Arabidopsis thaliana: one gene and its partner. The protein of the gene in region 1 interacts with the protein of each later gene in a biochemical or structural test. Each region holds a gene or a part of one and is shown on either strand. Other genes may lie near its edges.

Evidence for each region. Proteins that work in one complex are often made in the same cells at the same time.
Region 2: the proteins of BTI3 (region 1) and RAB8 form a complex in vitro, tested with the Arabidopsis thaliana proteins (one study listed by BioGRID).

The regions. Positions count from the first base shown.
Region 1 is NC_003076.8:16,634,004-16,639,195, forward strand, and holds BTI3 (VIRB2-interacting protein 3), read left to right. Parts: upstream 1-2,025; 5' UTR 2,026-2,226; coding exon 2,227-2,428; intron 2,429-2,645; coding exon 2,646-2,826; intron 2,827-2,905; coding exon 2,906-3,047; intron 3,048-3,131; coding exon 3,132-3,201; intron 3,202-3,290; coding exon 3,291-3,469; 3' UTR 3,470-3,905; downstream 3,906-5,192. Other genes in the region: CHX18 (cation/H+ exchanger 18), read right to left, coding at 4,551-5,192. UniProt on the Arabidopsis thaliana protein: Plays a role in the Agrobacterium-mediated plant transformation via its interaction with VirB2, the major component of the T-pilus.
Region 2 is NC_003074.8:19,874,978-19,881,032, forward strand, and holds RAB8 (RAB GTPase homolog 8), read right to left. Parts: upstream 3,816-6,055; 5' UTR 3,718-3,815; coding exon of another isoform or gene 3,565-3,717; 5' UTR 3,413-3,564; exon of another isoform or gene 3,290-3,412; 5' UTR 3,288-3,289; coding exon 3,215-3,287; intron 2,787-3,214; coding exon 2,714-2,786; intron 2,626-2,713; coding exon 2,525-2,625; intron 2,424-2,524; coding exon 2,358-2,423; intron 2,205-2,357; coding exon 2,107-2,204; intron 2,015-2,106; coding exon 1,952-2,014; intron 1,856-1,951; coding exon 1,763-1,855; intron 1,638-1,762; coding exon 1,554-1,637; 3' UTR 1,255-1,553; downstream 1-1,254. Other genes in the region: AT3G53600 (C2H2-type zinc finger family protein), read left to right, coding at 555-1,082; AT3G53611 (uncharacterized protein), read left to right, coding at 3,565-3,717. UniProt on the Arabidopsis thaliana protein: Involved in membrane trafficking from the Golgi to the plasma membrane.

The DNA of each region.
Region 1 (5,192 bases):
ATATATATATAGATCTAATATATATGTGTGTGGATGAAAGATATTAGCTTTGTTATATTATATCATTGTCTTATTATATTATAATTTTTTTCTTCTTTATATCAACTTGCAAAGTTTTTAAATATCGCTACTTGATATTTAAATGCGACCACAAATAATACTTAGTGACAAAACTGTACTATTCTACAAAATATAAAAATAAGAATTTCACCTAAAAAGCTTTAAACGTTTTATTAATTATGAGTCAAAATTTTTAGTGTTATTTGAAAAATAATACAATATGATAAGATATTATACCATTCTATAAGTTAATTAGAATTTTTTTTAAGTTAATGAATACAGGTCATTAGATTTTTTTTTATCACATTACAAATACAAATTTAACGTACGTAACATTTACATTTAGTGGACTAGAACTCAAATCACCCTATTACAGCTTGCATATATAGTAAATTGTTTTTGTTTTATAAGTCCAAAAGGATTAGTCTAAATTACATTGTTTGGTTATCAAAGAAATTAAAATAAAAAATTAGATAAAATTAATCGAAAATGAAAACTTAACATGAAGGTTGAAATCTCCAAATTATTTACTCATCCTTTTTACCAAACTCAAATATGATATTTTTTTCTATACGTAAAACTCAAAATTGTATATACAAGAAATTTAGCTATCTAAAAATAACTATATAATAAGCCATTATAGTAAGCCACAATTTTGACCATCTACGATCTTTTCTTTTGTACGTAGTAAGGTTTGGTGCAAACTTTTGCAAGTAATTAGTATATAGCTCTTATGGATATGGTATATTCCTGATATGAACTCTGATTGGGTAATGATTAGCACTTAGCAAGGTAGTCAGATTTTTGGCTTTGGCACGCATGGGTTTCACTGTTTCAGGATTGAATTGGAATTTTTTTTTGATTAATTAATGTATAATATTTTATACAATATAAAAATATATTACTGTATTAGGTAAGAACTTTACGACAAAAAAAAAAAAATAGGTAAGAACTTTAAGATTATGCAAGGGTCTTAAAACGAGCCACGTAATCTTCTTAGACCCACGATAGTAGATTTTTGAGGTCTCCAAGAATCTCTTATCCTTTTTGTCATCGAATCTCTCTCTCTTTCTGAAGATATATTAAGAAACAAATCTCTCTTTTTCTTCGAAAAGGTTGGTTAGGTGAAGGACAATTCTCATCCACACGATTAGATGCATAAAATTATATATATAAGAAGAAAATCTAATTATATGAAATGGTGGAATTTCATGTCACACTAGACGACGAATCTTCCATATTAAACTCACTTCTAACACTGCATGTGTATGTAATTATGTATATGAATGAATATCCAAATAGAATAATATATTTGGACTAATCAAATTATTGGAAAAGTACATAAATAAATAAGTGAGCTTTCATTGTCAAACCTGATTTTGTTGATCTCTGGGTTTGCCATTACTCCAAAAAATCTTACCTTCAAGAGTGATGTCGACACAGTGGAGCACACGTGTTGTAACACGTGTCATGACTCAGCTCAAAATTGGATCCCACGGAAGAAGTTAGATCTCGAGGCCAAGAGACCAGAGTCATCAATTCAAACCCCACGTGCGTGAGAGTCACTGACTATTCTCCTCTTATCTTCCGGGTCTTCGAAATCCAATATCTCCAAAACGCAGCGTCTTGGTTAATTTTTGAGATGTCAATATATATAATCTGTGACCTTGTAATGTTTAATCAACAGGTGTATGATCATCTTTCATCTAGGAGCATTTTCATTCTATCAACATATTCTCATAACAATTTTACTATGCCTAACAATTTTTTATTTTTACTATGAAATGGATCAGTAATAAATGGGCCTTAATACTGTACCAACAATCCCATAAATGGGCCCAATGCTGGATCCTATCCGCCGACATCTAACGTTCCACTAACGGAGACGTTATCGGGAATATTCACATTAATTAACGACCGTTAGTTCCACGCCAAATATGTTACATCTGCTACAAAATAAATAGTTTGATTTTCCACCGTGGACGGTTACCTACTCGAGGCCCAGACCCGAATCAAACGGACTGGATTAAATGTTTTAAATCAAGGGGTGGGATTAAATCTGAAGCACACGCTTTTATTCGTCACAGTCTCCTCCCACACTCTTCAATCAGTAAAGAGTTTTAGGTTTTTTTTTCTTCTTCTCGGAGGTTTGTAGAATCAACAAAAATGGTGGAAGACCACAAGCACGAGGAATCGATCTTGGAGAAGATTGTTGAGAAGATCCATGGCCACGGTGACTCGTCTTCTCTGTCCGATTCCGACGACGATAAGAAATCTACATCGTCTTCGTCGTCGTCCTTCAAGTCAAAGATTTACCGACTTTTCGGAAGGGAGAAACCTGTTCACAAGGTTCTCGGTGGTGGAAAACGTATGGATCTATCTCTATTTCTTCACTTTGAACTCTGATTTTACTCGATTTTGTATCTTACATAGTGATTTTGCTCGATCTAGTGAATGTTGCTCTAATTTGAAGCTAAAATTGAGTGTATTTGAGTGCTTAATTGTCTGCTTTGCTCGAAAGTACGCTTAAATCTTGTGAAATACTCAGAAACTATGTTGAATCTGGATTCATTGTTTGCATGTAGCTGCTGATATATTCCTTTGGAGGAACAAGAAGGTATCTGGTGGAGTCTTGGGTGCTGTAACTGCGTCTTGGGTCTTATTCGAGTTATTCGAATACCATCTCCTCGCTTTTCTCTGTCACTTTGCGATTTTTGCTCTTGCAGCATTGTTCTTGTGGTCTAATGCTTGTACATTCATCCACAAGTATGTTCTTACAACATCCCTTATATGTTAAGTGTTAAGTATGAGATAACTGCCTGATCAACTGAGTTCTTATCCTCAGGTCAACTCCTCACATCCCGGAAGTTCACATCCCTGAAGATCCTATTCTTCAACTTGTTTCTGGATTAAGGATTGAAATCAATCGTGGTTTGACCCTTCTTAGGAACATTGCATCAGGAAAAGATGTCAAGAAATTTATCCTGGTATTGTTCATGTTATCTACCTCGATGCAAAGCGGTTTTCTTATGTTCCTCATAAATGCTAATACTTGCTTGCACATGTTTTAGGTAATTGCTGGCTTGTGGGTTTTGTCCATTATTGGCAGCTGCTACAACTTCTTGACATTGTTCTACACTGGTAACGATTCATTTACATCTTACTGCATTTAATCTGATAGGAATCATACTTGCATATCTTGATAACCAGCTTTTCTTTCTTGCTTCCAGCTACTGTCCTTCTCTTCACCATTCCTGTACTCTACGAGAAGTATGAGGACAAAGTAGATGCCTATGGGGAGAAGGCGATGAGGGAGATCAAAAAGCAATATGCAGTACTTGATGAGAAGGTATTGCGTAAGGTCATAAGCAAGATTCCAAGAGGAGCTCTGAACAAGAAGAAGGATTAAGGAATGTGAGTTACTCTCTCATTGGAATCGTAGTAATGGTTCAAGACATGTTTTGTTAGAAGCTGTTGGTTGATAAACCCTTTGATCTCTTGTTATTATTATGTTCATTATAAATTTGGGGGTTTTAACTAAAAATATTTAGATTATGAGAGAACACGGATGGATGATAATTATTGTTGTTAGTTATTTGTCTTAGTTAATTTCTCATCCTTTTAACAGCTCTCCATGATGGTATTCGTCATGTCAATTTTGCATCATGTCTGAGGATTGGTCCATACACATAAACTCAAATTGTTTCGTGGGTTTTTCGCTCTTCACTGCTACTGCGATCTAACTTTAGTTCATAAGAATCTTTCTTGTTTTTATTTGACTAATAATATTCTTCCCATTCCATCTCTTTCATCATCTCAACATCTTGTTCATAGGAAAAGCTAAAATGATTGGTATATGAACTAGGTTAAACGCAATTTGATAATTTTCCAAAAAAATTTGTTCATAATTCTTTTGCCAAAATTGCGATTTCACGATTTCTCGACAAAAATAATCACACAAAAAGTGGATTCCACAATACCAAACGCTTTCGGTATGATAACCATCAAATCTGGATAATTACTTAAAGTAAGCAACATACGTAAGGTAGACAACTAGGTGTTAATCACTATATATAGTTTGTAGTAGAAAACAATATCAAAAGTCAGGATGGCCGAGTGGTCTAAGGCGCCAGACTCAAGTTCTGGTCCTCGTAAGAGGGCGTGGGTTCAAACCCCACTTCTGACATTTCTGTTTTTAGTTTTATGTTCAATGACTGGATTTTTAAATTTATTATTTTTCCGATTAAAGTAGATAACTTTTTTTACAACAACCATTATTTTTTTTTTTGTCATCATTTAACCATTTACTTTCAAAAGCAAAAAAACTTAAAGATGAACAGTGACGACAAAAAAGAAAGAAAAGATGAAACAGTGAAAGCCAAGTACAGTCATTTTGATTAAACCGTATTCATTAACCAACTTTTCACTAACTATGGTAAACCAACCCCTGACCCGAACCGAACCGTTCTTGTTTTTAACCAATGATTCATTCAATCAGAGTCTTTATCCGTAGAAGTCAATACCTCCGTCTCAGCCGCACCCAAATCCGGAGCTATTCCGGTGCCGTTGTACTGCTGAATCACCAAAACCGATGCTTTTGTCGAAGATTCCGGCGAAATCAACAAGCTTCCTACAGGTCCAAGCTCCGGACATTCACTATTCTCCCTAATCGCCAATGCAATTTCTCCACCTGGCATTCTACCAACCAAAAACAAATTGCTCCGCCGCACTTCCTCAATCGCCGATCTAACATCCACGGCGGCGTTTTCAATCTGTTTCTCCACGAACTTAACCGATTCGTCCACCGAAGATATCTTCCTTATCTCAGACATAATCTCCTCATCCGATTTCAGATTCTTCACACTCTGATTCTCGTTGTTATTGTTACTCACTTCAACATTAACAATCTCTCCGACTCTCTCCGGCGATACCACAAATCGGAAAACAGTCAAAACAATTCCGGGATGCTCCGCCATACGTAATCCATAAGCCAACGCTTCACGATCATCAGGACCACCGAAGAACAGAACAACAACAGAGTAAGAAACATCTTGAGCTGAGACTTGACTTGAACCTCCGAGTCCACGGTCAACGAATATACCAACCGAACAAGGAGCTTGAAGCAAAACTCT
Region 2 (6,055 bases), on another chromosome or scaffold:
TGTCAGATTTTGATTTTTAAGAATGCAATCATTTGACTTTTAGTTTGACTTCCTTTTGGTTCTTCTTAGCCACTCTTTCTCATATTCTACACGTGCTCATTAACGTTCCAAAGTCAATAAAAAATCACGAAGCCAACAATAAAATGTGCAACAAATAATATTAAACATGTTAGACAGACGAAAGAGAATTATTCTTTATACGTATTTAACATAATGTGCCTTGTCGGTTACCAAACAAAATAAAATATGGCTTGTTAGTGGTCGGTAATATGTAACACGTTGTGTGTTTGTTGTCCTTGTCAAACCAGCAATGCTGCTTAATTTATTTAGATAGGAACCCAAGTTTAAAGAAGACTTTTTTTTTGGTCAAGTAAGAAAATGTCAAAACCTCTGAAACTTTCTTTATTTTGTTTATAAATACATTACTCCATGAATACGTTACAAAGATCTTAATCTCACAAGTCTCACATTTTCTAGGTGGACCAACCAAAACCCAAAATCTTTAATTCCCTCTATAGTGCTCTTTTCTCTTTTCGAAATACAACCGTAAAAACATGAAGAGAGACCGGTCCGATTACGAAGAATCCATGAAGCATATAGACATAGTAGAAAGTCTAATGATGTTATCTCGAAGTTTCGTGGTCAAACAAATCGATGTAAAGCAATCTACCGGAAGCAAAACGAACCATAATAACCACTTCGAATGCAAAACGTGTAACCGGAAATTTGATTCCTTCCAAGCTCTTGGAGGTCATAGAGCTAGCCACAAGAAACCTAAGCTGATCGTTGACCAAGAACAGGTGAAGCATCGTAACAAAGAGAATGATATGCATAAGTGTACAATTTGCGATCAAATGTTTGGGACCGGTCAAGCTCTAGGCGGTCACATGAGAAAGCATAGGACGAGCATGATAACCGAGCAATCGATTGTCCCTTCTGTGGTTTATTCCAGACCGGTTTTTAATCGTTGCAGTAGCAGCAAGGAGATCTTGGACTTAAATCTAACTCCATTGGAAAATGATCTTGTGTTAATCTTTGGGAAGAATTTGGTTCCACAAATTGATTTGAAGTTTGTGAATTAGTAGGGTTTTAAACCTTTCTCTGTACTTTTGTTGTTGTTTTTTTCTCTCTTGCTACACATTATTTCATTCTTTCCGTCATGTATGCATACACAATTTGTTTGAATAAAAGGTTTCAATTCTTGCAATGAGTGATAAAACATTAATAGTTGAAAGTTTGAAACAGAACCATTCTCGAATGTATACATAGAATCCAATATCATTGGTGTGTGAGTGAGATAAACTGATATTATCATAAGTCATAATCTGATGTCAGAGAATCCATTCCAGAAATATGGAATACGAATTGTGTCCTTCACAGTCACACTATACCATTAGGGAAAGAGAGAATCTTAAAAGAATACGTAGAAACACCATCTCATATAGAAGAAAAGCAAAAGAAGATTGATTTCCTTTTTCATTTTTTCTTTCCAAATACCATTTCTCTTTCACTAGCCAGATTCTCTCCTTTGACAGGCGTCGTGGACCCAATTTTTATGTGCCGCAACATGCTGATTTCTGAGTAGCTTGAGATGTTCCCGCACCTTGGTCGGATTGGTTGATTTTGATTGTTTGCGGCTACAAAAATGATAAGAAATTCGATGACGTTAGTAAGGTTGATACACATACTGAAATGTGATTTTTACCACAATTGCAATGTATGAATGATGACAGTGGAAATTAATTCTATAGCTCAAACGAACCTCAGCTCGTGCATCGGTATCTGCAAGTCTTTGCTTAATGTCTTTAGCAATAGAGAAGAAAACTTCCTCAACGTTTAAGTTAGTCTTGGCACTCTGCAATTAGCAAACTCATCAAAGTTAACCATTTAAAAAGAATTAGACCTTTCCCTATATCTATTGAAATGTAACAAAACATAGACAACAACTTACAGTCTCGAAAAACTTCATTCCATATTCATCTGCAAGAGCTTGGCCCTTAGATTTTGGCACAGCCTGGAAAAACAAAGCAAATCGGTGTATTAGCCAAATAGAAACATATAATATTTAAACAGGACGAAGATAGGAGGGAGGGTAAAAGAAGAGACTCTTTTGCTTTCATCCATATCTGCTTTGTTCCCAACTAGAATCTTGTTGACACTATCAGAAGCATGCTGCTCAATGTTACGGATCCAATTCCTGATGTCTGGAATTGAAGAAAACAAAGGATGAAAAAGAACAAATTAGTTGAGTAGAAAATAATAAAGCTAGCAAATGGAAAAATATAAAGTTTAGAACCGTTGCAAGAGCTTGTTGGGTGGCATAAGGACTGCAAGTAAAAAGTAAAGAGAGTACTTACTGTTGAAAGATGATTCATCAGTCACATCATACACAAGCAAAATCCCCATGGCTCCACGGTAGTACGCTGCAATAAGAACAAACTACTCAGGTGTATTCCAGCGAGGAAGGCAAAGATGCATAAATAACAGCAAAAAGAGAAAACGAAAAGCAAGATCGAAAACACACCAGTTGTGATTGTGCGGAACCGCTCCTGTCCGGCAGTATCCCAGATTTGCAGCTTAATTCTCTTCCCATCGAGCTCAATAGTCCGTATCTTAAAATCAATCCTGTCAAAAACAAAAAGCAACTTGAGTAAGAACAGTGAACTACATAGAGGACGTGATAACACAGTGTCATTGCATGAAGACATCATACCCAATAGTTGTAATGAAACTGGTGGTAAACGAGCCATCTGAGAAACGTAAGAGAAGGCAACTCTTACCAACACCTGGTACATGAAAGAAAGCAAAAGTCAGATAAAACAGAGACATTAGAATAATCCACTGGAACATAGTGAAACACTTACTTACAACAATCAACAAAGGAATATTCAAATCAATTTGGCTAAAGCATTTGCGGCATTAACATCTAGAGAATATAATTAAATAGCTACAGCATTCATTTGTGATTCTCCTCCATCCTAATACCAAACTAAGAAGACTATGAACATCATATGCTCACAATTGTTGAAATGAGATCCAAATCTGAGTAAGATGTGTTACTCAAATCACTGTTGTCTCAAGATCCTTCAAACAAAACTTAAATTGTAATCAACAACAACAAAAATCGAGAGAATCAATCAACAAAAAGATAGAGATTGAATAAAATGCAGGGAACAAAAGGTAGTATTACGATCTGAATGATATAGAAACCTACCGCTGTCTCCGATCAGCAGAAGTTTAATGAGGTAATCGTAATCAGCACGAGCTCTAGCAGGAGGAGCAGCCATTTCTTAACAAAATCAAGTAATTTCCGAGAAACGGATCACTGGTAAGCAAAGAGAGCAAAAACTGGAGACAAAATTTAAATCGAGAATCAATTGTGTAGAACCTAAAAATCGAAAGAAGGAAGTACCAAATCTACTCGGGGAAGATAGATCGTCGGAAGCAAGCAAGACAGTAACCAGACGGCCGTTGAATTTTTTTCTTCCCCCGATTGGCTTTTTTCGGAGATTCAGAAGTTTTTTTTTTTTTTTTGGTTAGAGAGAAGAGGGAGAAGGAGAGGGAATGGATCTGGACCGTTGGATCTTGTTCGTGGAGATCTGTGTTGGTCCGGCGCGTGGTCTTCGGTTACGGTTTGATAAATTTCGAACCATGGGCCTTGGGCTAGTTTTATTTTTGTGTGCTAAATTTATGATTTGGTGTCCACTAAATGTTTAGTTTATTCTTACTGATCCAACCCAACAGGTTACAGAATTGATGAAGTATATTCATACAGTATATGTATTTTTCTATATTTCGTTCTGAGTTGCGTTGCGATTAAGCTCTGGGAAAAAAAAAGTTGTTTCAATCCCTTCACTTGTAAATAAACTCAATTATTTAACTCCAAGGGGACGCAAAGGTTAGGCAAAATAATAATAATAATAATAAGAGTTAGGCAAAAAGAGAGCGATTGACAAATTGAGGAAATTTGAATATATTGTCGTCGGTGTTAAGCAAATAATCATCCAAAGAATAAAGCGTGGATAGGAATCTACAATGATCCTACGTAGCATCTAATGTACTGCATGAGCATTCGTTTACTCAACCCCATCCACCGATCATCCGCTGCGGACAAGTCCACATCTTCACTTCTTCACGACCAATGAGGTAATGCCACGACGAAAGCCTTTCCTAAAATTACACGATCCATTTCCTTTTCTAAATGGATACGAAGAGTGTTTCCATTGACATTAAAGGAAAGCTAACTTTACTTAAAATATCGTCCTTGAGGTAACAAAAAAGTTTAAGCCCCTATACTGTCTTATTTAATGTTTTTTTTTTACTCTTACACTATTTAGTTCTATGTTAATCCAAATTTATCCAATTATTTCCGATATCTAACTATTATCCAAAAAAATTAGGGAATGACACGACACGACGTAAGCCTTTCCTAAATTATACGATCTAGTTTCCTTTTCTAAATGGATACGAAGAGTGATTCCATTGACATTAAAGGAAAAAGTTAAAGCATACATTCTCAGATTTGTTTTGAATGTAGACTGCAATTATTACGTTAATGTGATCGTCTTATTAATGCTTTTAACTCCAATTTACAATGAGATTCATGTTTATCCAATTTTATCCCAATCTCATTAAACTCTTACCATACAAAAAGTCAGAAAGATTATCCAAAACCTTCCGATATGAAAATGGTAATTATTTGAAATGCACGTGTATATTTATCATAAAAATTAATCATAAAACGGTGCTTACGGTGATGGTAATTGGTGACTTGTATCAATCAATGCCAGTAACCGATTATAATACGAGTTCAAATACCAAAAAAAAAAAGAGCTGTAAACAACAAAAATCCATATAATATCTAATACTTTTAAAAGTATAAATCTAATAATTTAAAATAATAATAAGTTAGTAATTTATTTTAAACTCCTAATATCAAAATAGTATAGAAATCCTATACTATCATAGGAATCCTAAAAGTATAAATTATTTTAAATTCTACTAATTTAATAGTTACCAGCTGAAAAAAAAAATAAAAAAAATAAAAAAATAATAGTTACCAAAATTACTATCATAGACAATCCATGCATTTTTGCATGAATCCTAATACTATATAAAATACGATAAACACCCATATTTATCATTTTACACATCTTTTTGTTTGAATTATCCATATACATTATGTATAGAAAGAAAATAAAAACGAATATTCACTTGACAGATTAACATATGCTTTTCTTTTGATTGCAGTTTGTAATCCACCGACAGAGAAATTGCGATGTCATAAATCTGAACACGAATTTTCGGTGCACTCGCCAACACCTGATCTCAACTCTCTCCAGCATATTCCCCAAATTAACAGTAGCTAACGGAGACTTAACGTGGACTCCTCGCAATCCGAGTCACTTTAACGTGTATCAGACAGCCAAACCTTACGTTGACCCCACCGCCGTTAGGAATTCCGTCTATGTCTCTTTTTCCATCATCCAATAAAATCTTGCCACATTGACACTTTCGGGTCCGGACATATTCCAAAATTAAAGAGAATTTAATTTATTGTTTTCCTTCCAGAAAAATATTAATATTCTTTCTAAACTAAAAAATGGAGTCTTCAAATAGCACAGAAGCAGAGACATAGAGCGGGAACGCGTTTAGTCACAGCTTTCTTCTCCTTTAGCTTTTCTCTCTACACTTGCTTCTCTCTCTCTCTCCTTTGGGTTATCCTTCTTGAGATCTGTGCTTGCGTTTCTTCTTCATTCGACGACACTTTATCTCGGGAGATTTCAGATTTGTCGATTTGTTCAGGTACGGATTTCGAAATGTTCTTTCAATCGGATTTGTTCTTCCTCGGAAGGTTTCTAGGGTTTTGGGATTGGGTGTCTTTAATCTGTTTGCATAAGCCATGAACGAGTTTTTTTGTTCCCCCGAGAGATCTTTGTGACTTGTAGATCTGAGTTGGGTTCCAAAATATTCAATCTTTGTGATGTATATCTACATTTTTAGATTATCAAACTCCATTAAAGAGAAAATCTTTGCTCGTTTCTCTTAAGGCCCA